4 linked regions of the Pelodiscus sinensis genome follow. The main gene of each other region encodes a partner of the protein of the gene in region 2 in a complex. Links are inferred from orthologs where the notes say so. Each region holds a gene or a part of one and is shown on either strand. Other genes may lie near its edges. The genes, in order: PBRM1, SMARCD1, DPF3 and PHF10.

The links.
Region 1: SMARCD1 (region 2) and PBRM1 share a complex: the UniProt entries of both Homo sapiens proteins name them as parts of the SWI/SNF-B (PBAF) chromatin remodeling complex. The link is inferred for Pelodiscus sinensis from reciprocal best matches to the Homo sapiens genes SMARCD1 and PBRM1.
Region 3: SMARCD1 (region 2) and DPF3 share a complex: the UniProt entries of both Homo sapiens proteins name them as parts of the BAF complex. The link is inferred for Pelodiscus sinensis from reciprocal best matches to the Homo sapiens genes SMARCD1 and DPF3.
Region 4: SMARCD1 (region 2) and PHF10 share a complex: the UniProt entries of both Homo sapiens proteins name them as parts of the neural progenitors-specific chromatin remodeling complex. The link is inferred for Pelodiscus sinensis from reciprocal best matches to the Homo sapiens genes SMARCD1 and PHF10.

Annotation. Positions count from the first base shown.
Region 1 is NC_134721.1:41,055,323-41,062,179, reverse strand, and holds the start of PBRM1 (protein polybromo-1), read right to left. Parts: upstream 3,002-6,857; 5' UTR 2,864-3,001; intron 2,591-2,863; coding exon of another isoform or gene 2,581-2,590; exon of another isoform or gene 2,566-2,580; intron 548-2,565; exon of another isoform or gene 1-547. Other genes in the region: GNL3 (guanine nucleotide-binding protein-like 3), read left to right, coding at 3,617-3,662, 4,131-4,189, 5,132-5,269, 6,225-6,338, 6,835-6,857. UniProt on the Homo sapiens protein: Involved in transcriptional activation and repression of select genes by chromatin remodeling (alteration of DNA-nucleosome topology). Required for the stability of the SWI/SNF chromatin remodeling complex SWI/SNF-B (PBAF).
Region 2 is NC_134729.1:6,453,497-6,460,480, reverse strand, and holds the start of SMARCD1 (SWI/SNF-related matrix-associated actin-dependent regulator of chromatin subfamily D member 1), read left to right. Parts: upstream 1-3,968; 5' UTR 3,969-4,007; coding exon 4,008-4,163; intron 4,164-5,293; coding exon 5,294-5,481; intron 5,482-6,906; coding exon 6,907-6,949; intron 6,950-6,984. UniProt on the Homo sapiens protein: Involved in transcriptional activation and repression of select genes by chromatin remodeling (alteration of DNA-nucleosome topology).
Region 3 is NC_134714.1:68,031,522-68,038,862, reverse strand, and holds the start of DPF3 (zinc finger protein DPF3), read right to left. Parts: upstream 3,020-7,341; 5' UTR 2,641-3,019; coding exon 2,609-2,640; intron 1-2,608. UniProt on the Homo sapiens protein: Belongs to the neuron-specific chromatin remodeling complex (nBAF complex).
Region 4 is NC_134713.1:121,613,168-121,620,805, forward strand, and holds the start of PHF10 (PHD finger protein 10), read right to left. Parts: upstream 3,011-7,638; 5' UTR 2,926-3,010; coding exon 2,857-2,925; intron 1-2,856. UniProt on the Homo sapiens protein: Involved in transcription activity regulation by chromatin remodeling. Belongs to the neural progenitors-specific chromatin remodeling complex (npBAF complex) and is required for the proliferation of neural progenitors.

The sequences.
Region 1 (6,857 bases), on a different chromosome or scaffold from region 2:
AACAACCAATAAGGCAGACACACAGATGTCAAGAAAACTATTTTTTGCTATGTGGGCATCCTTCGCATTACTGCAGAAACCGTTTTCAGATCATTGGTAAATGTCACAAAATGACAGAGGAAACTAGGGATACAAAGGGTTAATACTTAAGAGATAAGCATGCCCTTACTGGCTTACCTGGGTAACCCTGGCCCTTTCTGACAACAAAAATTAGTACAGGATCTCCCCCAGGTGCCGCCACCTTGGACAGGAGGGCCAAAACTGAAGCCCAAGCCTCACCACCCCAGGGTGCAGGGCAGAAGCCAAAGTCCAAGTTCTTCAGCACTGACTGGGGGAGGAACGGCAAAGCTCTTGATGACAGGGGTCTGGCTCTGACCATAGGTCCCTGTAAGTCTAGCACCAATCTTGGCAATACATTAAAATGGGGCTGCATTCCAATTTGGGGTCCTGACACACAGTTTGAAAACCTCTGCTCTGGACTAAATACAGTAAACTTCCGATAATCCGGAACCTTTGGGACCCACATTATCAGATATGCCGGACTATCAGAAGGAGGGGCTATGAGGGGGGGGGGAATGACACCCCAGACCCCCTCATAGCCCCCCCTTCCGATAGTCCGGCTCTGCCCCAGGAATCCCTGATTCAGCCGCTGCTGAAACTGACCAGCAGCGGCTGAATCAGAGACGCCTGGGGCAGAGCAGCTGGAGTGCTGCTGGGTTGGTCCGGTAGTGCCAACCCAGGCGTCCCCAAGAGCAGCTGGGGTGCTGCTGGGTTGGTCCCACAGCGCCGCTCCATGGAGCTACTGGACCAACCCGGCAGCACCCCAGCTGCTCTGCCCCAGGTGTCCCCAAGTCAGCTGCTGAAACTGACCAGCGGCTGACTCCAGGAAGCCCGAGGCAGAGCTGCTCTGCCCCAGGCTTCCTGGAGTCAGCCGCTGGTCAGTTTCAACAGCGGCTGAATCTGGACGCCTGAGACAGAGCAGCTGGAGCGCTGCCGGGTTGGTCCCCGCAGCGCCACACCTCGGCTCTGCGGGAACCAACCTGGCAGCACCCCAGCTGCTCTACCCCAGGTGTCCCCAAGTCAGCTGCTGCTGAAACTGATCAGCGGCTGATTCCAGGAAGCCCGGGGCAGAGCAGCTCTGCCTCAGGCTTCCTGGAGTCAGCCGCTGGTCAGTTTCAGCAGCGGCTGAATCAGGGACACCTGGGATGCTGCCCAGTTGGTCCAGCAGCCCCGAGGGGCAGAGCTAGGGGACCAACCTGGCAGAGCCCCAGGTGCTCTGCCCCCGGCATCCCCGATTCAGCCGCTGGTCAGTTTTAGCAGCGGCTGAATGGGGAAGCAGGGGGCAGAGCAGCTCCAATGGTCCGGCTGCCCGGAGCACTTCCGGGTTCCTGATGGTGCCGGACCATCAGATGCCGGACCATCAGAGTTTTACTGCATGCCTAATTCTTTCAGCCTTTTCTCAGAAAGGGACAAAATACCGCTTCTGTCCCAGAGAACATGTCAGGGCAGGTAGAAATGATAGACAAATTCACGTGAATGACAGTCTTACAAATCAAAATACAGAAACAGGATGATGTAATAGATGGTCTCGGCCTCAATTTTTTCACCTGTAAAGTACTGGGTGCATAGTTAACAACTGTAGAATACTTGAAGATGCGTATGTAGCTATACAAAAATATTTTATTAATATTTATAGGGCCATATATAGACCCAATCCTCCCAAAAACCTTTTACCGAAAAGGCCTCACAAACTTTCCTAGAACATGTATTCCTTTAAAGTACCATTTAGTAATATTTGAATATTAGCAGACCTGTATTTTACCCAGTAGTTGATCAAATAAGTGGTCACATTCTGTCCCTTGTCCATTACCCCTTCAAAAATTAATAAAGAAATAAATATGTGCATTTAATGTTGCTAACTTTATCCTTTTACAGTACATCATTCCCTCCACTGACTTTTCCTCATATGGTCAAACGTGTTTCAGGATTTATCAGTAATCATATAAAATGATAATATGTTCCCTTTAGGGATATAAAATTCCAGTTAAGTGGTTAACCAGTTAAAGTATTTGATCAGTTAACCACACATGAGGAGGAGTTGAAGGGGAAGCTGCCCCAGCCAAAGCCCCTTGTGCTGTGGCAATGAAGACTGTGGAATCCCCATCCCTGGAAGTTTTTAAGAACAGATTGGACTAGGGGTGTTAAATATTGGTTAATTGGTTACTCAGCTATTCTATAGTCCCCGGTGAGGGGCTGGCAGGCAGTATGCTCTGGCCCCACTCCCGAGGAGCCCCCTGCCACTCCGTGCTGCAGCAGCCCCTGTCCGTGGGGAGAGGGGGGAGCTCCCAGACCTGGCGCAAGCTGGAACTGAGCCGGGCTGCCTGCCCGCCTGGCTCCTCATACGGTTTAAATGCAGAGCCGCAGCAGGGGGTCGGTCCCAGACCCCGCGCAAGCCAGGACTGAACCCGGCTGCTACAAGATGTACTGGGGGAGGAGAGTGGTGTATCTCTAGCACGGACTGGTCGCTTTGCTGATCAGCTAATCGGCTCCGCTGTTACCTCCCTCGGCTGGACACAAGGGATGATGCAGGGTTAGTCGGTCCTGGCTCGGCATGGGCGGGGCCTCCCCCTACACGTCGAGGGGGCTTTGCCGTGCCCCAGGCCGTGCCCCCCGGGGTCAGCGCTGGGCCAGGGCTCCCGGGTCCGTACGGCGAGCGGACTGCCCGCTCCGTGCCTCAGTTTCCCCCGCGGCGGGAGAGCTCCGGGGGGGGCGCAGCGGTGCGAACAGGGGCTGGGCCCCCCCGGGCAGCGCGGCGGCCACACAAAGGGAAGCGGCGGCCTCCCGCAGCCCGGCCCGCGCTTACCCAGCCGGCCTCGCTCCGCCTCCGACAGCCGCGGCCGCGCTCGCCCCCCGCCACCGCTGCTGCTGTTCCGGCCGCTCCTGCCCACTGCCGGGCCCGCCGCTGCCGCAAAGCCCGCCCGGCCGCCAAGCGAGCCCGCCGCGCGACAGCGCGCGCAGCGGCACCCGCCTGCTTTACGGCAGCGTCGCGGGACCCGCCTGCCCCTCGCCAGTCGGCGGCCTCCACGTGCCGAGAGCGGAGCCCGCCGCCGCCGCGCCATGAAGCGGCCCAGTGAGTGCGCGCGTGCGAGGGGCTGGCAGAGCCCCCCCCCCCCCGCGAGTTCTTCCGGGCTGCTGAGGGGAGGGGGTGACGGCGGCTGCGGCTGGGACCCCGGGGCCCGTCGGCCCCCCCCCCCCCCCCCCGGCTCCTACGAGCCTGCGGCGGCAGGGCCAGGCCACAGCGCGGCTCGCCCCACGTGCTCGCAGTTGCCTGCGGGATCGGGGCCCGCGTGTGGAGCTGAGCTCGATTTTTTCCAACCCGGGGTTTGGGGGGCGGCCCGAAAGGTGCCGCTTCGGGCCCGGCCCAGCGAGTCGGTTCAGCCCAGGAACAACGGAAATAGCGGTTAATTTTGAAAAGTGAACGTCGATTGATTTAAACCTAAGATGTTGTCTTACATTCAAATCTGACCCTTTAAAAAGATAAAACATAACGGGTATGTCTGCAGTACGGGGCCAAGTCGAATTAAGACCTGCAGCTTCAGCTACATGAATTGTGTAGATGAAGTTGCTTAATTCAGCTTTTGGCTACGCTGCAGGAAGTCAAAGTAAGAGCCACTCTTCCATCGACTTCCCTCCCTCCTGGTGAAAGCATGGTCACTGCATCAGCCAGAGTGCCCCTCTCACTTCCAATTAGCTGTCTTAACTAGACAGTTAATTCGAACCCTGGAAGAGCGACAGCTTCCATCTTCCTCTACTGTAGACATACCCAAAGTGAAAAAACACCCAAAAGTGACTAAATTGAAACAAAAAAATCAGGACAAAAATTGTTTTGATCAAATGAAATATTTTGATCGATTTTAAAAGTCCCTTTTTAGTTTTCAGTTCAGCAAAATATTTTGAGGTGGGGAATCATTTGGATTAAATAAAATTTTGGTTTTTTTTCCCATCTGAACCAAAAATCTGTTGTTTGTTAAGCTTCTTTGGCTACATGTTTTTGGCTTCCACATTAGTGTTGCTCATAAGATTTTCATTTGGAAGATCTACTTAATTGCAACCTGTTCTTATGTTTTCAGAGTTGAAGAAGGCTAGTAAGCGCATGACCTGCCACAAACGATATAAAATTCAGAAAAAGGTAGGTCCCAGTGCCAAATTTGGTATTAAGCATGCTTGGCTATATTTCAGCCCTCATCATAGAATATATAAAGACATATTTTTGTGGTGTTTAGAAACTGTAAATTTCAGCTCTGCATTCAAATTTGGGTGGGGGATTGAATGTAAAGTTTTGAATAGAACCCATTTCTGTTTAAAGCATAACTAAATGAAGGTGCTTGAATGACCAAAATGCTTTTGGAGTGTGGTGTTATTTTTATTTAACTTCTTATATCACAGTAGTACTAGTAACTAGCCGAATAATTTCAAAGCTGTTGGTGTTTCTTGTTTGAATAAACATTCATAAATTGATTATGGCCTGAGTGCAATTTGTATTATAATGTGAATGCTAGATACTAGTTACAGAGAGGTAGCCATGTTAGTCTGATCTTGCTAAAACAAAAAAAGCAGTCATGTAGTACTTTAAAGACTAATAAGGTATGATACGATCTGAAGAAGTGGGTCTGCCCCACAAAAGCTCATCACCTAAGTAAAGACTAACAAGATAGTTTAAGTGCTAGATATTAATATCCCAGTGCCAAGAATTCACGCATGTACAAATCATTTTCTTTTCTAATGCCAAATACCTTGACAAATAATACAAAAATTATGTAATACAGAACTTTTGTGAGTGGACATATGGTTCAACTACAATGGGAAGTTACTTTTAAATTTAGGGAACAAATCCACAGTGGCAGAGAGATGGACATAACTTGAGTCTTGGGATCTTTAATTTCTGCAGTAGTCGGGGATCTGTTTATTTAAGTACAGCTACATGCTGATTCAGTCTGTAATTGAAAGCCCTTCACTGCAAACACAGAAAAATCGTATATACGTGACTATGAAAGAGAGAGAATGGTGAGGGTCTCTGTATCAAACTGGGTTTGTGACTCCCATACTGGATTTTATTTTTTCTTGCCTATAGGTTCGGGAGCACAACAGAAAACTCAGGAAAGAAGCCAAGAAACGTGGACACAAAAAGCCCAAGAAAGATCCAGGAATTCCCAACGCTGCACCATTTAAGGAACAAGTTCTTCGTGAAGCTGAGCAAAGGAAACAAAGGGTAAATTACAGGTTAGAATAGAATGAAGGGGTTTTGTGCATATTCCCATTCCAGGGAAGCTTGGTATGTATCATGCACTATAAATAGTCTTAATAGCTCTTCACTCTAAAATACTACAGATACTTTTCCAATTTAATATATTAGATAACAACTAGCTATACTAAATCGTGTGGAATTTTTTAGTATTTTGTACTGTAACTGTATAGAAGTAAAATACAAATGTGTGGAATTTTTAGCATAATTAGTTTCCTACAAAGAATAAGATTTCTACATAACCTACACAGCTGTCTTTAAAAAGGAAAAAAATTGCTGAAGACTGCTGTACATAGATATTTGTGGATAGCATTCACTGTCTGCTCATGTTACTACACAGAGGGACCACATCTACCATCATTTAGAAGGTGTCTGTCACTATAGTATTTCTGTCTGTCTTGGCACCAGAGTTAACTGAGTGCCTCAAAACGTTTAATTGGCAGTGAATGTATCAACTTTTCATCAAGTAAGAGAAGGAGTAGAAATAAGCTTGCATCAGCCAACCAGTTCCTTAAGCTCCCAGCCATGATTTCTTAATATTTCCATACCAAGATTGAAAGGATAACGGAGACTGAATATCCCCTTTCCTTCAGTGTGACCACACTAGGTCAAGATTAAAACAAAAACCATACTCAAGAGTGAAATCTTGGTCCCATTGATGTTTTGCCATTAAGTCATTGCAACCAGAATTTCACTCCTTATGTGGATAGAGAACTTAGCTTTCTAGGGCGCTTAACCTGGCACAATTCATTAGCACTAAAAACTGCAAAATATTCAAAGAATAATTCTAGGTGGTAATGTGTTGCACTTTTATAGTGCTGCTCTTTATTTCTGAAGCACGTCATAAACAATCCTGATCATAAGTGGGAAGGAAATATACTCTTTAGCTTATGAAATGTTGTCCATCTTGTGTTGCAATTAGCTTGAAGAACTAAAACAGAAGCAGAAACTTGCTAGGCAGAAGAACCTTGAAAAGAAAAGAAAGCTACAAGCTAAAAAGGATGCTACCGAAACGAAGAAACATCCAGAAGAAAAGGTATGTGTTTGTAGTATAATTTTCCTTTTTTTCAAAGAAGCTAGTTCACTTGCAGCACAATAGAAAAGTTTCTATCCTCTCATAAAGCCTAATCCAGCACCCTTTGAAGTCTATGGCAAAATTCCCATTGTTTTCATGTTGGAGCAACAGAAAAGACTTGTTGATATATTTAGTGAGGATATGGCAATTATAATGCATCCGTTTTAATCAAAGTAAATATAGGGTGTCTGTTTTAGTGCTAACATCCATTTTCATGCAGTGTTCAAGAACAATATTGCAAATATCACAGCCTGGCTAGGTCTGAGTCCATTAAGATGTATACGTGTGATAAATGTAATCCTCGAAGTATCTTTTTTCTTAAGACATGTATTCCCGGATTTGTTGCTTTTTCATGTTGTTGGAAATATTGTAGTTCTAACTGTTATTACCTTCTGTTGTGTAAAGACAATATTTTAATTCAAATTCTCTTATCTGCTCCCACCCTCTTTTTATTCAGCAATCAACCATGAAACTAAAAGC
Region 2 (6,984 bases):
TCCTCTCTCTCTCTCAGCTCTCCTCTGCCTCCTGCCTCTCTCTCTGTCTCTCTCTTTTTCTTCTCCCCCTCCTGCCTCTCGTTCAGGGTGCGTGTGGGGTGCAGAGCCCAAACGGCCGCTTGCTCCCCCGCAGCAGTCCGGCTGAGCAGTGCAAAAGTCAGCCGAGCACCATGGTGGTAGGCAAAGGGAGGTGGGGCGGTGACATTCACGGCCAGGAGGCGGGGCCTGGAGCTGCTGTCACGCCGCACGTCACCACCTTGAGTTCTAGCAGTTGAAGACTCGGGTGTACAGGGGCAGATGACCATTTTGCAGGGCCCAGGGCAGCACAATTTTGCGGGGCCCCCCTTTGCCACCCGCCGTGGTGCTCAGCTGACTTCTGCACCACTCAGCTGGGCCGCCACGGGGGAGTGTCAGCCAATGGTCAGGGCAGTGTGTGGTGTGTGTGTTATACACCCACAGGGGCGGATACAGGGCAGGGCGAGTGGGGCGACCGCCCCGGGCTTCAAGAAGCTACGCACATGCGCTGTGGCAAAGGGGGGCCCCGCAAAATTGTGCTGCCCTGGGCCCTGCAAAATGGTCATCTGCCCCTGTACACCCGAGTCTTCAACTGCTAGAACTCAAGGTTCCTTCGCAGCAGGCGGCCTAGGGAAGGCCGATGGGTGCCCCAAAGTTTTATGTCCATGTCTTTAGCCGCTAGGACCGGGGTCCCTTCACAGCGGGCAGCCAACAGGCTGATAGATGCCCCAAAGTTTGCAGGGAGAGCTTATTATACCCGTGTCTTTAGCTGCTAGGACTAGGGGAGGGTCCCTTTGCAGCAGGCAACCTATGGAAGGCTGACAGATGCCCCTACGGATCTGTCCCCTGGAGGCAACACGATCCAAACGCCCAGCTCTCCCTCACTGTGTCTGCCCTATGACCAGCTGGAGTTCTTTTAAATTGTGCTTGGTTCTGTTACAGCAACTGCAGGAGTCAGGTTAAAGCTTAAACAGTTACAGGTGTATTAAAGAAGAGGACTGGGGTGGCTCTGCGGGCTCCTCGGGGTGGAAGCTCTCCTGCAGCCCCCCGATTGACCCCCCGCCCCCGGATGGCAGCCTGCGGCAAGTGCAGCCGGTCTGATGGCCAAGTGCTGTGATGTGCCGAGTGTGGGCATTCAGGGCACTCCAAGACAGGACTGCTTTGCTGTCCCTCATCGAGTTAGACAAGCAAGCAGGGAACCCTGAGAACTGTCTGTCCGGGGTGGGGGTTGGGTCCCTTTAAGCACAGCCCTCAGCTAGCCTGAGGCAGCAGCTCCACACCCTAAGTCCTAACCTGATGCCCTGCTGGCACTGCTTCCGGCCAGCCTTAACTTCAGTTCAGGGTCCACTCAATGTAGATATGCTGTTTTGAATTAGCAAAACGCTAATTTGAATTAGTTTTTAGGTCTAGATGCACTAATTCGAATTAACTTAGTTCGAATTAACTAATTCGAATTAAGTTAGTTCGAATTAGTGCTGTAGTGTAGACATACCCAGAGGAACAGCCAGCATTTCAGGAAATAGCGCCCCCCCAGAGGGAACAGCCAGCATTTCGGCGTTACAGACACAGACACTGGGCTACTATATATATGATAATGGCTTGTCGAGTAGACAAACTCTTTGTTATTTTGGAATAACATCAGTTGGTCCGGAATGAAGCTGCTGTGTAAACGCACCCTTTAAGGGAATGCTGCTCCCGGCCTGCTGAAAGGGCACTCTTCAGCGCCAGGCCCCAGTCTGTATGCAGGGATGGGCTTCCCGCTGCTAAGACCTGGCCTCCTCACAAAGCTGCCACACAGCCAGGAAGCAAAGAGGAAGCTGGTAGAAACTGCAGTGGGCAGTTAGGGAGACAGGAAGGAGTTTGGCCAAGGCCCCAGTGCTAATACCTTGTCTGTCATGCACAGCACCACAGGAAGCTGGCTTTATGGCCCCTCCCATGGTGCAGCCCTGTGGTCCCACTCCAGGGCAGTGTGTATGGAAACAAGCCCAGCACACCTCAGCCACAGAGGACTTCCTGCCCCTACAAAGCAGCATCACATTAGCCTCCTACTTAATTAAATGGTGCTCAGCAAATTTGCCACCGGATATTCCAGGCCTGGAGCCAATCAGATTAGAGGGTCCCAAGCGTCCCTTCAAGAGGCCCTCTGGCACTAATGGACTTTGGCTTCCTGGGGCTCCTCTCATTCAGTTAAGACTCTGCTGTGGACCTGTCCAGCTGCTCCATTACTGCCGCAGACAGAGTGGATTAGAAGCCATTATCTGCCTTGCCCCTGGGAGGTAGAAATCTGGACTGTGGAACCTGCAGGCAGCCAGCTTTGGCTGGGGCAGCGTGGGACACAAGCCCAGGGCCGGCCTGAGCCTTTTTGGTGCCCTGGGCCCAGGCGCGCAGCGCTGCCCCCGGGCACATGGCACGTGCGCAGGCCTGCCCCCCAGGGTGCCCCAGCCCATCCCTAGGGCACACAGCGCATGGAGAGCTGGGCTAGGCTCTGCTGGAAGAACTTTCTCGTAGACTCACTCACAGATGAGGGTTGGAAGAACCTAGTCCAGCCTTCTGCTCCATAAAGGTCCAGCCCCAACTACCTCATGGCCTTGCATTCCCTGTGTTTGTGTTAGGATACATTAACAGCAGGAGTGATGGTTGCTGGTGCAGCCAGGGTGCTCTGGGCATCAGTGCTTGTGGGTCCCTGTCCCTCTCCCTCCCTCATGAGCACAGCCCCCTGCCCCTTTCTACACTGCCCTCTGTTTGCCAAGCATGGCCTCCTGTTCCCCAGGCAGGCCCCTGGCACTGTCCCTCTCTGTGCCAGGTCCATCTGCTGCCAAGCTTGTGTTGGGTGAACCCACATTGGGTGGGGGTGGGACTTGAGCCCTCAGCCTCTGGCGGCAGGTACTTTATCCACTGTGCTACGGGATAGAGCCCCCAACCTCCCTACCTTCAGGGCCCCCTTTGTTCCCAGGCTGCATGTTCCATCCCTCAGACAGCTGGGGTGGCTGTCCCCAGGGAGGCAGGGCTCAAGTGCTGTACCTCTGGCTCCAGCGGCAGGTACTTATCCACTGCACCACAGGAGACGGTCCTGAACCTCCCTCCCTTCTGACCTCCCTTATCCTTTCTTTGTTACCATGGTGAGTGCTCCCCCATGCCCCTGGGGACATCCACCACCAGCTTCCCGAGGGATGGAGCTGGCATCATGGGAACAAAGGACACAGAAGGGGGGCCCTAAAAGTAGAGAGGTTGGGGGTCTCCTCCAGTGGTGCAGGGCATAACATACCTACCTGCAGAACCAGAAGCACAGGGGTCAAGCCCCCCCCCCAACACAAGCTTAGCAATGGATGGACCTGGCACCCTTGGGACATAGGACAGATATGGGGGGGGGCTCTGAAGGCCAGAAGGTTGGGGGACTCTTCCAGGGGCGCAGTGGATAAGGTGCCTGCCTCCCACAGCCCATCTGGAAGGCCTCCACACCACACTGCCCCCAGGCACAGTCTCTGCCTGCACCATTCTCCCCACCAGTGGCACAAGTACCCTTCCCCTGTGGGGTACCCAAGAGAAGCCTGAGGAGTATGTCAACACAATGGCAATTTGGAGAAAACTGAACTTTTGCTGTAAGTTTTACAGCACTTTATTGTTTTTGTACTTTTGACACCCAGAAATGTCATCACCCAGCCAGCTCCAATTAAGTTGCTTAAATAAATGTGTTGCAATGGGTAGAAAAAAATGTTGTGTCTGAAAACTGTAGGTACTGGGGGGATCTAGGTAGACAGAGGGATAGAAAAGGATACTTATAAAAAAGGCTCAGAAACACGGCTCTAGACGACACGCGGCCCCTTGCAGCTCCGGCCTCCCAGCGGCAGGGGGAGCAGCCTGCGTCCCGCGCCTCTCTCGGAGCTCTTCCCCGCGCACTCTATGGCTCCTCAGGCGCCGCTCTGCCCGGCGCGCTCTACGGTCGGGGTCCGGTTCCGGTTCCGCTCCCCTCCCCCGCTTTGTGCTGGGAGAAGATGGCGGCGCGGGCGGGTTTCCAGTCGGTGACTCCGAGCGGCGGCAGCGGGGGGGCCGGAGCGCTGGGGCCGGGCACCCCGGGGCCCCCCGTCCGCATGGGCCCGGCTCCCGGGCAAGGCCTGTACCGCTCCCCCCTGCCGGGCGCCGCCTACCCGGTAAGACGGGGGGGGGGGCTGGAGGCAGGAGTGGGGGAGGGGATAGAAGCGGGGGAGAGGGAGGGGCCGGAGATGGAGGCGGAGGAGGGATGGGGGAGGGGTCAGGAGGGGGAAGGGTTTGGGCTGGGGTGCCCCTAAGGGAACAATAGGAAGGGAGGAAGGTCCCTGAGGGTGAGTCAGGGGGTGGCCGGGCTTGGTCTTTGTCTGAAGTGGGGGCAGTAAATGGGGCGGAGGGAGGGGTCTGAGCACCCTCGTGTCTTGGGGGCATAGGAGGCCCGGTGAGTCCAGGGCTCTGGGGTGAAGGAGGATGTGGGGTGAAATGACAGCAAGCTGGGGCTCAGGGCAAGGGGAGAAAACAGCCTCAGTGCATGGTGAGGTGACTTGGCCAACTATGGGGAGGTGTATTTGAGGGTAAGGAGGAAATGTTTGGGTAAAATTGGGGGCACAACAGGGTGAGAATGTCATCAGGGATGCCCTGAGTAAGGGTGAAATAAAATACAGGACTATGTAGCACTTTAAAGACTAACAAGATGGTTTATTAGTCTTTAAAGTGCTACATAGAGTCCTGTATTTTGTTTCAGCTACACCAGACTAACACGGCTATATGTCTATCACTGAGTAAGGGTTACTCTCATTTTAAAATGTGACCCTAAAGAGAAGATTGAGTAGAAAGAGGGGAGCTAAGAGCTGAACAAGGAGAGAGGAGAGGCAGCCTAGACAAAATGAGTGAGCTGAGGCAAGGGTGAGTGTTGGAGTATCTTATGGGAATGTCAGGAGTGATGATTCACTGAGTGGAAGTGAATTGTAGGCAGGGGTTTGGACATAAGGCCTACAGTGGGGAGAGGTGTGTAAAATTAAGAATCGTCCTTCATAGCCAGCTTTGCTGGTTATGGTTTATATGTTACAATCCCGTTTATTCCTGGTTGGAAGCATCCCATTCTGGAGCTGCTAGCCCTGTTGTGATCTGAGTCCATCTAAGCAAGCCCATGAGTCACATGGCTTTGTGCTCCCAGCAGACATGGCTTGGTAGCCTACTTGTACTTAGGACTTAACAGCCCATTGTTGGTGAGTCTCCATCTTTCCAAAGTTTGGGTTGGATGGAGACCAGATCCCTGTGTTTCTCTCCTCAGCGCCCTGGCATGTTGCCAGGCAGCCGCATGACACCTCAGGGACCCTCCATGGGTCCCCCAGGATATGGTGGGAGTCCCTCAGTCCGGCCTGGAATGGCCCAGTCTGGTTTGGATCAGTCCCGCAAGAGGCCAGCTCCTCAGCAAATCCAGCAGGTCCAGCAGCAAGCGGTTCAGAATCGTAACCACAAGTAAGAGGCCAGATTTCTCACCTCATTATGAGGTTGATTTATCTTTTCTGTGACCACTTAGTGACTCCTCCTGAAGGACACCAAATTCCTTCACAAGTTCTATAATTATAATACCACCAAAATCCAGCCCTCTCTAAAGCAGAAGGCTGGAACAAACCAATTAACAGCACATTGCTGAATAGTTATTCAAAGTCAGGCAGATTTTGTCCAAAACACCAGTGCATCCACCCCACCGACCCTTACAAAAGTGCTAGGGAGACTCTCAATATCCATGTCAAGCAGACATAATCTAAGGTGGTTCAGAAAGAAAAATGCTCACGAGGAAAGCAGTATCTAAATTGAAATAGGCCACTTATGAACCTCCAGAAAATAGGGATCAAATCATACATTTTTGTCCATCATATCCAAAGAAACCCCTTTGGATGCTAGTGGGCCACATTACAAAAATGGACTGGCCAATATTCAGTAATTCGTATGCTTACCACTGATATCAGAGATCAGCACATTGCTTTGTTGTTTGGGTCATAACATCTGGGACTTCTGTGTGAGTATGTCTACACTCGCACCCTCTTTCAAGAGAGGGATATAAATGCAGCTGAGCAAAATAACCCTTATTCCTCCTACAACGAGGTTTACCAGTTATTTCGGAAGAAGGTTTTTCTTTCTAAATAACCGCGTCTACACAGCTTTTGTTGTTTTGAAATAGCACCATAACATTAATATGCAAATGAAGTGTGGGAAATTCACAGTGCTTCATTTGCAATTTTGCTCAGGTGCATTTGCATCCCTCTCTCAACAGAGGGTGCAAGTGTAGACATATTCTGTGTCCCTTGCTCCCAGCATACTCATGGACTTTCTTCTTTAATTGTTTTGGCTCAAACTGACTTAAACTTTTTGTGCAGCTACTTCGCTGGGTGATGGGAGCTTCAGATAATAATATTTTGCTCCTATTCAAGAGCAAGAGTTTTTATTACTTAACATATCAACAGTATTGCCTGGCTTAAAATACTTATCTGTTAAAAAATCCAGCTTAATATTTAATCAAACCCGAGAGTCATTTTGTGCCAAAATAAATATTTAACCGAACACCTCTCCAAACTCAGGGCAACCCCAGCTATCTATATCTGTTGGGATACTTCAAATAATAGGTGGTCTTGGTCTTGCAGGAGCTTCTGAGCTTCAGTCCTGCTTTGGCCTTGGGGAGGAAGGGATGGGTAAGGAAGGTGTCTGTATAGAGACTGATAGTCACAATAAACAGTCTTTGAAAGAGAGAACTGGACTGAGCCAGTTGTTATGGAGCAAGTACCCTCATAGCGGAGTCCCAAGACTGAGAATAAACCCACACCTGTGCTTCTTTTCTTGTGTTCTGGCTGTTTGAGAAACAAACTGGTTGCCCGCTTAATACATGTATCCTTCTTTAAACAGCGCTAAGAAAAAGAAAATGGCTGACAAGATTCTACCTCAGAGGGTGAGTGAGGGTTTTTATTCATGCTTCCTCTGCTG
Region 3 (7,341 bases), on a different chromosome or scaffold from region 2:
CCTTTGCATAATTTATTTACATGTGTATTGTTTCCTGATCAGCAACTTGTAACAATAAATGGAAATTATAGAATGTTTTATTAAACAAGTTGTTCAAAAAAAAAAAAAAAGACAGATGGTGTCAGACAGCCAGTGACAGTCCTGTTTCCCCTACCCAGCAGTGGTACTTAAAAAGGCGCACAGAGAAAAGCAAACCCTGCACTTGAGGTCTATTGTTTCCTCTCTTCTCACCCCAGGGGGAGGGGGAGGAAAAGGGGGCTAATTATAACAGACCTGCTCCTGCTCCCATTGACTTCAGTAGGAACAGGGCCGAGCTTCAAAAGAATGTAACTACCCGTCCAAACTAGGCAGGATTTAGTACGTAAGGGAGAAGTAAATCACAGGTGTGAGTGTGTCATGTTCCACAATTAGAGAACGTACAAAGCTAACACAAAACAGAACAGTGTCGTTCGGTAAGGGACAGCCCACGCTGAAATCTCCTCCCGCCCCCGTCACTCCATGTGGAGTGACTCCTCATTTGCACCCGTGTCAGCCAGCGCAGAACCAGGTTTCCCTTCGCGCTCCACGCACCCGCCCCGCGCCCCGCCACGTGAGACTCCTCGGCTGCTTTTTAGGAAGCTCGCCTCCCACAACAAATGAATGATTCTGCCGAAAGAAAACCAGCCCCGACCTCCATTGTTAGGAATCCTAGTGCCGTCGTCACATCCAGACACAGGGCATGTCGCTCCACACCAAACGGACCCCTAGGACAATGCATTCCCTCACCAACCGAAGTTGGTCCAGTTAAAGATACCCTCGCTCGCTGTGTTATATGTGTAGAGAGACAAAGTATACCGGAGAGTTACTTACGGTGCTTTCAGGAAGTTACTCTGGCAATGAACGGGACTGATCTAACTCAGATTTATTTTTTAATTGAAACATTAAACTGATTTAAGCTGCAGAATGCGGGGGGAGGCGCGTTAAGAAGTTGTTCTCACTGGGACAACTATAACATATGGAATCTGATTGGTGGCACATTGTATACTCCACACACATATTCACCGGGTTTTGTCTTTCTCCCCAAAAGACAGCTACTACTCCTATGCTAGCCCTGTTCTAAGGGCACTTCCCCCTTCTCGACCGATTTTTACCATTTGCTAAATGAAAGGCTATTTAATGGCAGACAAACGTTTGATGCCAAAATGGAGAAGGAGCGATGCAAATCTGACAGCTGTGCGTGTACCCCCTCCCGGCGTACAGCTCCCCTTCCTCCAGATTGCTGCACAGCACAGAGACAACCCCGCTGGAATCCCCGGGAAAAACCTCCAAGTGGTTTCCCAACTCCAATCGGAAAGTTTAATTGAAAAGACACAGCTCAGAGTCGGAATTACATCTCTACGACCTCAAACGGATAAAATACCCACGCAGTGTGACTGGGAAGTCCAAATGAAGTGTCTCCCCCAGGTACGCCGCTTTCTTGCATTGTGAGCGTCTTGTGTTATTAGCAAGCGCTGCCCCCTAGCACAGAAGTCATTTTTAAAAGGTTGAGACAGCCCCTTTTCTCCCCCACAGACGGTGCCAAATCCCCCTCTCCCTAATGCCTAGAGGGATTAACGGTGTGTGCTGCAGGCCACAAGGAAATGAGGGACCTGATCCAGAGAAAAATGCCTAGCTCCTGTGTGCCTCTCTTAAATCCGCCTTAATACAAGATCGGAGAACCCAGCATATTTCTAGAGCAGAGGCACCTGTCCCAATACTCTGCGCCTGTATCTCTCAGCAAACAGCTGGCCAGATTCGGCTTCTCATTTACATCCGGGCAGATTTCGGCGACCAGTGTGTCCAGCCCAAGATGGAAACACAATCAACTCTCGTTGCCACTTTCAAAAGAGAAAACCTCCCCTAGGCAACGAGCTCTCTAGACTTCCTGCCTAAAAAGCACCCAGCAGTGACCCCGAGTCATTCATTCCGCGCAAGTCCGGCTCTCCAGTCCTCGCACACAGACCGAAGTGTAATTGCAATGCCCCTGCTGCCCTGCTAGGAAACGAGCGGTGCAGCCCCTTCTGCTCCCGAGCCAGCAAACGCTGTGGCTGATTCTTTCCTCCTTTTCAACTCATCCCAACTCCTAGAAGCTTTGCAAAAGAAAACTCCGAACTGCTGTCGGAGCGCTGCAACACAGACAGTTCTGCTCCCGGCTTCCAGGACCGATCCCTCTCCCGTGGACACGGAGTTGGTGGCGGGGGGAGACAGCCCGGACAACAGGCTCAGGACTCTGTCAAGTGCAAGCCCCTCCTCAGGGGTCCTGCAGGACCTAGCCGTTTCCGAGATCCCCGCAGCCCCGAGAGCTGCCAGAAGCCCCGCTGCCATCCTCCCCTTCAGAGCTCCACTCTCCCTCCCTCTCGGCCAGCCAATTAATCACAATCCAAATGTAACAATTTCTTTTTGTTAATTTCAGTGCAAGACGCCCGTGTGTGTTGCACAAAAAGAGAGGAGCTCAGAAAGGCAAGAGGGAGGGAGGAGAGATCAGCTGGGAGGCTGGAGGCACCGGGCTCAGGCTGGCAGCAGCATCGGAAAGGCGCCTTTTTTCATATTTAAACCACGCGGAATATGTACATTTTTGATTCCTACTTACGCTTTCAGGGGGTTGTGAATGACAGTCGCCATTTTGCTACAATGTAACAGAATATTGTGTCTCAGAGTTCTAAAGGTTCGCTTAGGGGAAGCGGCCAGCCAATCAGAAGACGGGATACCGGCCTGCCGCCCAATCCGGCGCTGGGGGCGGAGCCAGGGCTGTGCTAGTTATTAGGGGAGCTGTCAAAGCCCAGAGGTCACTCCCTTTCTGTGGAACTGGAAGAGAGCAGGTCTTAAAGGGGCAGTTACACTAGGGACTGTCACTACACCGAACTAGAGTGAGGGGGGCTAGGATGTGGAACAGAAGACTCTTTGGAGTTATCTGACTCTTTAATGTCAAGAAATCTAGAGAAAGGAATGAGGGTGAATACCTTGTCTTTGTGGATTGCTGTGCCTGCCTTTCATTTCCCAAATGGCATGTCCCCTTATTCATGTGCAAGGGTTGGATGCATGCCATTTCATCAGGAAAATAAACTACAGGTGTACTGACATTTGGTGCAGTAGATTCTTGAGCTTTATTATTCCCAATGTGTTTTCCTTTACCTGAAGCCACTTTCCCCTTTAGGCTTCTTGGAACTCCTAGTGCTTACAGTGACTCCAGGGCAGCACCCTCTCCCCCTCCCCTAGGAATTTCTCAATGTCAGTCATCCAGCTTCTGCAGCCAGTGCACTGGTTACATAATGCACAGTGGCCAAACTGCCTGCCTGCCTGTTCTCTGTTTTTCCCACAAAGCAACTTCTGAAGTGATTGTCCTGTCTAACATGTTGAGACCTGGGCCTCTGATCTTTCAACATGGAGAGAGGGAGGGGGGAGGATTTTAATCTACATTTCATATGACACTTACTTTCATGGTAGCAGAGTGACTTGGAGTCAAGAATCCTGGAACAGATACAGCTGTTAAATGCCCATTTCTGGGAGAGGCACTAACTCCAGGAAGTCAGAGTTTATCTTCGACTAATTAAAAAAGAGTATGCAAATGAATTAGCCTGCATGAGCTAAGACACTCAAGAAGTGGCTAATTCTGCTCTCATACCACTGTAAATCAGAAGGAACCTCACCACAATCAGTGAAGTTACACCAGTGTTGATCTAGCAGAAGGTAGATCACACTCAGATTTAAGCAGTTTCTTCTTGTCAGACATCAATGTAGGTTTTGCCTTACAACATTTCTGTACCTCTCAAAGGTCCCCCTTCTGTTTTCTTGCAGCTCCCGCCAAGGGGGCCTGAGGGTGTTAAGATGAGGGCAGGGGTGGCATGATTTGGCAATGGGTAGGAAGCCTATAGCTTGACCTACTAAGGCAAGATTAGGCACTCAATGTAGCCGAGAACTGTTTCCCCTTTGCACTGGCAGTCTCATTCCACTTTGCCCACATTAAATGAACAAGGCATCCCGAACTTTCTGTAATGCTTTTGAGGCACAATGTCCCTATATTATAGACAGGGAAACTGAGACACGGACTATTCAATAAATTGCCAGAAGTCATACAGAAAGTCATCAGCAGAGCTGGGTACAGATAAAAGCAAATTGCAATAGTCCTACCTTCTCTCCTCCAGCTCACAATACACAGTATCTCCTACATTTCAAGGCTGCAATAAAAGACACAGTTCAGCTCTTAGTGCCAGACATGCTTATGGCATAGACTCTTGGGCAGTGACCCATTCATTAAGCATATTCAGCAAGAGGGCTTAACATCCAGGATCTGTTCTCAACTCTGACCATTTCAATTGTTTGGTACCTTTCCCTTTTCTGTTTTAATAACTAGAATGAAGAATCCCTTCAACAGAGGCTCCAAGTTGGTATGGAAACACTCCACCCCCAGAGTTTGAAAGTGACACCAGCAATACATGAAGGAGCAAGATCCAGTCTTTCTCCAGGAACACCCTCAGAGAGGCCTTTTAGGTGCCACCAGCTTTGACCCTGGCTGGGACCACCAGAGCAGCCTGCCTGCCACCCTCTACATGCCTCCGGCTCTGGCCCCATCCGGGGCCGATGGAAAGCTTCTGCCCTCCACATGGCCACAGCCCCAACCCCTAGCAGCAGGAACCCACCCACCTGCAGTCCCAACTCCCAGCAGGAGCAACCTTCCTGCTACGTGGTCCCCAGTGGTAGCCAGCCCCCAATGCAGCCCTGCCCTCCAGAGCATCTGCCCCCCAATGCGACTCCGGGCGCAGGCCTGTCCCCTCCCCACCTGCCACACCGCCCCATGCCAGCCACCTTCCACGTGCAATAGAAAGGTGAGTGTTGCAGCACAGCTCTGCAAAGGAGGTGGGCAGGCTTACAATTTTTTGTGCGCAGCCATTCACCTTAGAGGGAACACTGATCATGGTCCATTGCTTTCACTCATTCAGAACTTGGTAAGTTGGAAGTATGAATGTTTTGTGATATGTCTGGGTTTCAAAGGAGGTTTGAGACAGCAGCACTTCTGGAACAGAGGGCTGAATTAAGAATGGGGTCAAAGAGTCCAAAGCCCATTATAATAATGTTTAATATAATATTGGCCCAGAAGGCAATGGATATGACTTAGGAACCTCATGTCTGCCACTTCCCTCTTGGCCATAGAGAAAGTCAGCTGCTAACTGCAAATTGTTGGTAAATGCATATGTGACATAGTCCTTCAGAGAAATTAACAGGATAGTATGTTCAGGTACCTATGGCTTATGCTAGATAGCATCAGAATTGCTTAACTCTGTCATTGTCAGCAAGATAAAACCTTTCTCCTTTAGCTCAAAGTATAGGAGAAAATTGGTTCTATCTCCATTGTCACAGATTCTTACTGGCCATGAACTGTCACATAGAAAAGTCATAATCATCCCTAGGGGGCCATAGATTTGTTTATATAACATTTATATTTACATACTGATGGGTACCACATGCATGAAGGTGATAAACATCTGAGAAACTGCAGCATAATGATACATTTTATAACCATGGGATAAATTGCAAAACTATGTGAGTAAAGAACTTAGTGTCCCTTTCACTGCCTTGGTTGTACTGTGCTTCCTAGTCCACCTCTATGGAATTTATTGTAACATTCTCAGCCCCTGAGCAACTTCAGACAGCTCTTATTTGAATTAAAATGTCTCTCAACCTTTCCACCTTACTGTACCCTTTTCAGGAGTCTGATTTGTCTTGCATATCCCCAAGTTTCACCTCAGTTAAAAACTATTTGCTTATAAAATCATACATAAAAATACAAAAAAGTCTTACAGCAATCTTTGACTGAAAAATTGCTGACTTTCTCTTTTTACCATATAATTATAAAATAAATCAATTGGGATATAAATATTGTACTTAAATTTGAGTGTATAGAGCACTATAAACAAGTCATTGTTGGTATGAAATTTTAGTTTGTATTGAGTTTGTTAGTACTTTTTACATAGCCTGTTGTAAAACTAGGCAAATATATAGCTGAATGAATGTATCCCCTGAAAGACCTTTGTCTGCGTACCCCTGAAAATCAATGAGGTATGCATAGCCCTGGCTGAAAAACAACAAGTTAAACAAAGCTACTCCAGAAATGTTTTGTCTTTCTCTTCCCAAAGGCTATGTCTAGACTGCAAGCCTCTTTCGAAAGAGGCTTTTTCGAAAGTATTTCGTGTTACAATACGCGGATCGGAAAATCGATCCGCTTTTTCGAAAAAGAGCGTCCTGACTGCTGGACGCTCTTTCGAAATTAAAAGCCACCTGGAACCGCTTCTGCTAGGGCATGGGGGCAGCATTTCCTTCCGGGTGCTGCTGCCTGCCCTTTGCAGAGACGCGTGGTTAAAGGGACGCCCCTGAACACCCGTTGCTCTGCTTCTGCAGCTGCCTTTGCTGTCCCTCTAGGAGGTAAGCAAAGCATTGCAGTGCTGATTTGGAGTGCTCAGCTTCCTGGGACACCCCAGCAGGTTTTTTGTTTGGAGGTTTTTCTGTTTTAGACCCGTTTTTTCGGCATAGAGCCAGAGCTGCCCCTGGGCAGGCGATGGCCCCACGCCATCATACTACAAGTGTTGCTGCATCTGCATGACACAGTCATGAGGCTACTTCCCCATCTGGACCCAGACCAGAGGTACGAAGGGATCGTCCGTCATGTAGCCCCACTGCCCTTGCCTCCAAACTTCTTTGTGGACAGGCATTTTTGGAGGCTTGACACCAGCTCTGACTGGTGGGACCGGCTCGTTATACAGCTCTGGGATGACCAAGAGTGGCTACGCAACTTCCGGATGAGAAAGACCACTTTCCAAGAGCTGTGTACCTGGCTCGCCCCTGCTATGCAACGGCAAGACACCCACCTGCGGCCCGCTATCCCCGTGGAAAAGAGGGTCGCCATTGCCCTCTGGAAGCTGGCAACCCCCGACAGCTACCGCTCCGTGGGACACCAATTTGGAGTGGGCAGGTCTACTGTTGGATCCATCCTGATGGAGGTAAGTCATTGTCTGGGGACAGTCACAGTTTGGGGTGGGGGGAAGGGAGACTGTCAGGAAGGGCAAAGTGGAGTGTGAGGGAGCTCCTCCACTCACCCTGAATTGTTGGGGGGGGGGAGTTCTGAGGAGGGGATTCCCGGGGTGTTTGAGAGGGAAGGTGGGTGGTGGGTTCTCCTCCTAAGAGATAAGGCACCCCTTCTAACATTTTGTTGTCTGTCTCTTTCTGCAGGTGGTGAGGGCCATCAATTCGGAGCTGCTGAACAGGCTCGTCTGTCTACCAGATCTGGACAGCGTCATGGCTGGCTTTGCTGCCCTTGGCTTCCCGAATTGT
Region 4 (7,638 bases), on a different chromosome or scaffold from region 2:
AATAAGATAGACAAATTCAGACTATAAATGAAGTGCAAAATTAAGTGCAGATAATCAGCTATCACTAGAAACTTTAATATTAGTATTGCTCTTTTTCTGCCAAAGCCTGTGGTGTTCAAAATGAGAGTAGAAATTAGTGAAAGATATTTACTTGATGCAGTCTTGTTTATTTAAAAAAAACTACACAAACATCCTGTTTCTCTAGATACAGAAGAAATAAAACAAGAAACAGCTTCTTTTGCTCACACCACCAAGGGCATTCTTTTCATGCCACACCTCAACACAAAAACTGCCCCTAGTTTCTTCAGGTCAGCCACCATGCTTCCAGACACACACACACACACAGATACACACACCCTCCTCAATACTCAGCAAAAGCTCCTGGGCCCATTCACACACTCCTTTTCTCTTATTTAGCAAAAGGAACAAGGAGTCCTGTGGCACCTTACTAACAGATGTATTGGAGCATAAGCTATCGTGGGCAAAGACTCACTTTGTCTTAGTTAGCAGTATATGCTCTTAGAGTTATGTTAACTGAAGGATGAATTTACACTTATCAATTTCAATACAGTTTTAACTCAACCCAAAACAAATTTTCATCCAGCTCATAACACAAGATTTTTTCCAGAGGAGATGGTCTAGTTCAGGGGTTTCCAAACTTTTTTCAAAGAGGGCCAGATTTGAAGAAGTGAACATGCGTGAGGGCCATCCCTGCACTCTCAGCCCCAAGGTGGAGGGCCCGCGGGGTCGGAGGCGGGCGGAGAGCGCAGGGCACGCCGGCCTCACGGCGGCCCGGGGGCAGGGCGAACCCGCAGCCGAGCGGGGGAGCGGGGCTGCGGACGTGCCCTACAGGGCAGGCTCTAGGACCGCGGAGGCCATGGGCGGCGGCGGCGGCGGTGCGGCCAGAAGCGGCGCGCTGGGTGCGCCAGTTCCAAAGAGCGCCGGGGAGCCAGGAGAGGGGGAGGAAGCGGGGGCCGTATTAAACCGGAATACGGGCCGCAATTGGCCCGCGGGCCGGACTTTGGACATGCCTGGTCTAGTTCAACCATAGCTATTAGACTTGGGAAAAAAGGAGCTAGGATACACAGATCAAATCAAACCAATGATCAAAATTAGAGATGTAAGTGATTAGTTGACTATCCAATAAGCATATTGGATAGTCGACTAGTGACTTGACTAGTAGCACCCCTCCGCCCGCTGTCTCTATTAGAGAGAGGCAGCAAGAAGGGGAGGAGGAAGAGCAGGAGCCAGCGCTGGGAGGAACTGGCTTAAAAGCCAGTTCCTCCCAGCACAGGGGGCAGGGCAAGGAGAGCACAGTGGAGAACTGGTGCAGGGTTCTTGCTACATTTCAAAAGAAGCAGCACTGTGGGAGTAGAGGGCAAGGGAGGGGGGACCTCAAGCAGTCAGCCCTGTGCTTCCTACTTTTGAAATGTACAAATGCCCTCCTCAGTCTGCTTGACTCCCCCACACACGCTTTGCTTTTGAAATGTACAAGAGCCCCAGGTGAGGGGAGGCTCTTGCACATTTCAAAATCAGGAATTGCAGGCCAGCAGGGGACTGCTTGTGTCCCCTGCTTGCCCTCTGCTCCCACAGCACTTCTGACTTTGAAACATAGCAAGAGCCATCAGGGCTCTTGCTACATTTCAAAGGCAAAGGTGCCCTTATTGACTGAGGGTACATCTACACTTGCTCCCTAGTTCGAACTAGGGATGCAAATGTAGGTGACCAAAATTGCTAATGAAGCGGGGATTTAAATGTCCTGCACTTCATTAGCATGATCTTGCCAGCATGTTACTCTGCTCAACAGCTGATTCGAACCAGGAAGTGCACGAGGAGTAACGTTAATTCAAACCAAGGGGTTTGGTTCGAACGCGTTCTGGCACGCACTTCCTGGGTCTAATCAGCTGTTGAGCGGAGTTAACGTGCCAGCCAGATCATGCTAATGAAGCGCAGGATATTTAAATCCCCGCTTCATTAGCAATTTTGGTCACCTACATTTGCATCCCTAGTTCGAACTAGGGAGCAAGTGTAGATGTACCCTAACTGAATAGCTGCTGAAAATTGCATAGACTATTCGATTAGTTGATTAAACTAAATTTATCAGTCTTAACCAAAATGATCCTTTTTGGACTTAAATCTAATACTCTATTCTCAGTTCTTCCATGCACTCCCTGTATGACCAGTCCACCTTCTGTGCACTTTTGTTTCTCCATCTGTATAAATGAGATGATATTTAACCTCCTAGGTACTGAATAAAAGTACTCTGTATTATTATTAGGCCTTTTTAGACCACTTGCAAGCTTGAGTTATCCAAGATACTTTCAGACAGCATTTGCTAAGGTCACCTCTGAATCTGAAGGAAGGGGAGATGCAGGAAACAGCTGCACATCACTGGAAAGACCCGTTGCAAAGATACTAGCCACTGCTCATCTCTGGCCCACGGGGGCGGCTTTCAGCTTCCTGCGAGATTGGCCAGTCCCAAACCTAGAAACTGGTCAACTTCCAGGCCAGGAAGCCAACCCTGGAGGAGCCCCGGGAGCTGTATCTCCTTTGCCCGGGCTTAGCCCTTCTGGCGAGAAGGCTGAGGAGCTGTAGCCCGTTCGCGGGAAGAGGCATCCAGGGCTCCCTATCCCACCCCCGGGCCACGGCTCCCTACGGGGCTGGGGTCTCTGTGGGCCGGGGGGGGGGCGATGGGAACAGGCCGGGCGGGAGGTAGCTGCGCTACGGGCTGGCTCCCGCCCGGTCACTTCCCCCATAACACGGGGGGGGGAGGGTTGGTCTGATTCCCCCCGCGCGCTCCCGGGAGAATCCCGCCGCGCAGGGGGAGGGGCTGCCAGCCCGGCCCGCCTCTCTCACCTTCAGGGACTGGGCCCCGGGCGTGGCCGGGTCGCTGTCACAGACCCGCGGGGACAGAACCGCCGCCATAGCCGCCGCCCGCTCCCTCCGCTGGGCGGGGCGAGGAGCCGCAGCGTCCCCGGCGTCGCGCCCGCCCCGCCCCCTGCTGGCCGGACCCGCAGTGCGCCCCGCCCACCCGACACCCCCCTCTCGGAGTCACCTCCCCTCGGCCCTCCCCCGTGTGCCTGCGCCCCCTTCCCCGCGGCCCCGCCCACCAGGGCCTTCCCCACGTGCCTGCGCACCCCCCAGTGCCTGCGCCCCTTTTCTCTCTCACTCCCGCTTTCTAATTAGCCTCTCCCGGCGGATCCCCAGCGGCCTTTACTGGGGGGGGGGGTGTTAAACCAGTCTCAGCCCTAAGGCCAAGCCCTGAGACTGTATCACCAGACACAATTTCTAAGTAAAAGACCCCTCACTCCTGGTCTGCCACAACGCTCCAATGTCCAGGCTTGCCAGATGGTTTCAACAAAAATACCAGACACGCTTGACATTCCATCACAATCTGCATTACAGCTGATTTAGAAAATACCCGACATTTCTATTTTCTCCATTTGTTTTCTGAACAGAAAACTCAAATACTGGACTGTCCCGTTCAAAACCGGACACCTGGCAACCCTACCAATGTCAGGGTTTGGTTTTTGTTTTTTCATGCACAGGTTCTCCCTTTCTCATGGGCTGTGTCCAGACTCAGGGGTTTTTTCGAAAAAAGTAGCCTTTTTTCGAAAAAACTTCCCCTGCGTCCAGACTCAAGCCGCGTTCTTTCTAAATTAATTCGAAAGAACGCGGCTTTTCTTTCGATGGCGGTAAACCTCATTTCACGAGGAAGAACGCCTTCTTTCGAAAGTTCCTCTTTCGAAAGAAGGCGTTCTTCAATGTAAATAGGGCTTCTTCAAAAGAGAGCATCCAGACTCACTGGATGCTTTCTTTCGAAAAAGCAAGCCGCTTTTTTGAAATTTCTCCGTGCAGTCTAGACGCTCTCTTTCAAAAGAGGCTCTTTCGAAAGATGCTTTCGAAAGAGCCTCTTTCGAAAGAAGCCTGCAGTCTAGACATAGCCATGGAGAGTTCTTTTGCCAGAACACCAGCGAGGGTTAGTTAACTTTACATATAAATTGTTGTCAACCCTAACTGCTCAGTCCTATGACAAGGGGCTACAGCTGTCAGCCCAAGAAGTGGTAGAGGAGACCCCCAGGTAGAGCCAGACCAAGCCCAGGCGGTGCCTCAAGTGAGGAGCATTTTGGCACAGTCTCCATTTGTTAAGCTTTTGACTTGTTTTTAATGCATTTGTAGCCAGTTTTATGACTCTGATGCACAATTTGCATGTGTGGTTTATCGCTGTCTAATCCGATAATTTTTGCATGCTAGGATTCAACAAAACTTAAGTTACGTCCACACTGCAATCGTATTCTTTCTAAAGTAAATTGAAAGAACAGAGAGGTTTTTCCAACAGCGGTACTCCTCTTTCTACGAGGAAGAACACCTTTTCCGAAAGAGCTGTTTCGGAAAAAGGCATGTGTTGATGAAGAGGGGGCATTTCTTTTGAAAGAAAAGGTCTCCAGGAAATAACATAGGCCCAGGTGGACACTCCATCCATACTAATCACAACTCTATAGTTCCTGTCTCGTGCCAGCTCTTAAAGCTGCAGACACCTGGGCCAAGCCTTGTGGCAGGAAGCTGGCCATGGAGCAGCACCCTTATCGCACGGCTCTGTCTGCCACACACTGGGAGGTATGGCAGAGCAACAAGCCCCCCAAGATCCCTATAGCCCTCACAGGGAGCAGCATCAGGGCTCCCAAGGCCCAGCATAGGGCAACAAATGCTACGCACCCTCCTGGTCTGGGGCAGAAATCCTGTCCCTCCTCAAGTTGTGGGGGGAGGAGGCCATCCTGCAGGATCCCCACTCCCAGAAGCAGAATGCTGACATATATGGCCAGATGGCTCTAGCCAAGAGGGGACACCACCCCCACACTTTGGACCAAGTCAGGAGCAAGGTCAAGGAAGCTGCGCCAAGGATATGCCAGAGACAGGGAGCACAGCTCTTGCTCTGGAGTAGGACCTCACACATGTCCAAATTACAAGGAGCTGCACAGAATCCTGGGGGATGGTGAAGCCCTTTGCCCACCCATAATGGTGGACTCAGGACTCAAGACACCTGTGGTCACCTAGTGTAGCCAGACAGGAACCACCCTGTAACATCCATCTTTGCTGGCCTGGAAGCATGCAGGGCACACAGACCAGTAAAACAGCATAGTCTTTGAAAGCCTTGGACAGAAGGCCCGAATATGCAGGCTGCTGTGACCCTGGATGGCTGTAAACAGAGATACGCTAATTGCTGACCAAGAGGCTGCCGAGGAGTGCCCGTGACTGAAACCTATATTGATACGAACACACACTGTCCAGGGGGCAGGAATCTCCCGCCCAGTAAAAAAATGTCCAGTACTCACAATTTAGTTATCTCTCTTGCAAGTGTAAATTAAGTTGAAACTCCCTTGTAGGAACTGGCGTCACAAAGACAGGCCAACACAATTTGGCATCTTAGATAAGAAAGAAGATACGGGCCCCTATGGCTACGTCTAGACTGGCACGATTTTCCGGAAATGCTTTTAACGGAAAAGTTTTCCATTAAAAGCATTTTCGGAACAGAGCGTCTAGATTGGCACAGATGCTTTTCCGCAAAAGCACTTTTTGCGGAAAAGCGTCCGTGGCCAATCTAGACACGCTTTTCCGCAAAAAAGCCCCGATGGCCATTTTTGCAATCAGGGCTTTTTTACAGAAAACAAATCTCAGCTGTCTACACTGGCCCTTTTGTGCAAAAGTTTTGCACCAAAGGGACTTTTGCCTGAATGGGAGCAGCATAGTATTTCCGCAAAAAGCACTGATTTCTTACAGTAGGAAGTCAGTGCTTTTGTGGAAATTCAAGCGGTCAGTGTAGACAGCTGGCAAGTTTTTCCGGAAAAGCAGCTGATTTTCTGGAAACACTGGCCAGTCTAGACACAGTCTAACTGTTTAAGGTTTAACCTGACTCCTTCAGTTGCTGTAACAGAACCAAGCACAATTTAAAAGAACTTCAGCCGGTCATAAGGGACAGATATAGGAAGAGCTGGGGCATTTGGATCGTGTTGCTTCCAGGGGACAGATCCGTAGGGGCATCTCTCAGCCTTCCCTAGGCTGCCCGCTGCGAAGGGATCCTGTATCTTAGCAGTTAAAATCTGAGATGTAATAAGCTCTTCCTATAAACTCTGGGGCATCTGTCAGCCTGTTGGTTGACCTCCACGAAGGGATCCCAATCCTAGCAGACTAAGACACAGATGTTAAACTCCTCGGGGCGCCCGTCAGTCTCTCCTAGACTGCCCACTGCGACGGGGTCTTGTGTGCCAGCAGTTGAAGACTCGGGTGTAACACACACACACACACTGCCCTGACCATCTGCTGACATCTAGCCGGAGCTCCTTGATGAGGAGGAGGACAAACAGCAGCTGCAGGATGAAGAGGACACAGCCAGTACAATCACCCTCACCCTGGAGCCAGTACCCCAAGCCCTGGACATCTCCCAGGTATCCTCTGATGACGGGGAGGGATCATCAGGTGAGTGCTCAGTTTTACACACATACCAGGGCAGGAGAGGGAGGTGCAGAGGGGATGAGGAGCGATCGTCGCTCAGCCTGGGCAGTGTGCTTCACTCTGTGCACGTGCAAGCACATGCAGCGGCAGTGTGTACCACATGGCCTCAGAAGCTAGCCCTGGAGCACCCATGGTCTCGTGCTCACAGGCTGTGTGGAGGACCCACACACGTCTGACCAATGGGGAACTCCCTCCCACCACCAGACACTGCTGGAAGCAGACTGAGCACACGGGCACAGGCACAGGCACAACCCTGAGCACTTTGAGGGGTGCCACATACAGCACACGACCATGCTTGCATGCTCAAGGAACCATCTGCTCTTGTGGATGGCACTGCCAGGTCAGCTGTGTATGCAGCCCCCATGGAAGGCCAGGCTGCTCCAGGCCCCTCTCCCGCCCATGGGATCCCACTGTTGCTGGACACTTCCCTTGCCAGCTTGTCTGTGAAGATGGAGTGGGGTGGTGGGAAGCGTGGTCCCTGGGGCTCGTCCTGCAGTGAAGGCCACACATGGCCTGGCTCACGAGACATCACCGTCCTCTGGCCCAAGGACTGTTAGTCTCTGCTCACACAGGAGGGCATGGCCTCATGCACAGTGTCTGCTTGGATGACTGACCACCTCTCCCTCTTTTCCTCCACAGCTGGACTAGCCATCACTGAGGGGTGCTCCATGCCATCAGAGGCAGCTGCCCGATCCCGCTGGAGTTGCAAGTGCAGGAGGGTCCATGAGGACCTCATGAGGGAACACGTGGCCATCCTGCGTGACATGCAATGAACCCTGGCCCAAAAGGTCTGGGATGAAGCCAAGTGGTACAACTGAATGTGGGACCAGCTTGTGCAGCAGGGCAAAAACTTGTGTACCTCCATCCGGGAAGTGATGGCACACTTGGCTCCTGTTCCCATTGTAGCCCTCCCCACTCTAGCCCCTTTTCCCACTCTAGCTCCCCCTGCCATGCCTATGCCCCCTCCGCTGACCCCCCCAGCCATCTCGGACCCCACTCCAGCCCTCCAAGTTTGCCAAGGTCCCCAGCAGAGGTGTAGCAAAGTGGGGAGGAAGGGGGACGGTTGCCCCCGGGCATCATGCTAGGGGGGCACCGGGCTGGGGTGGGACCAGAGCTCACACTGCTCTG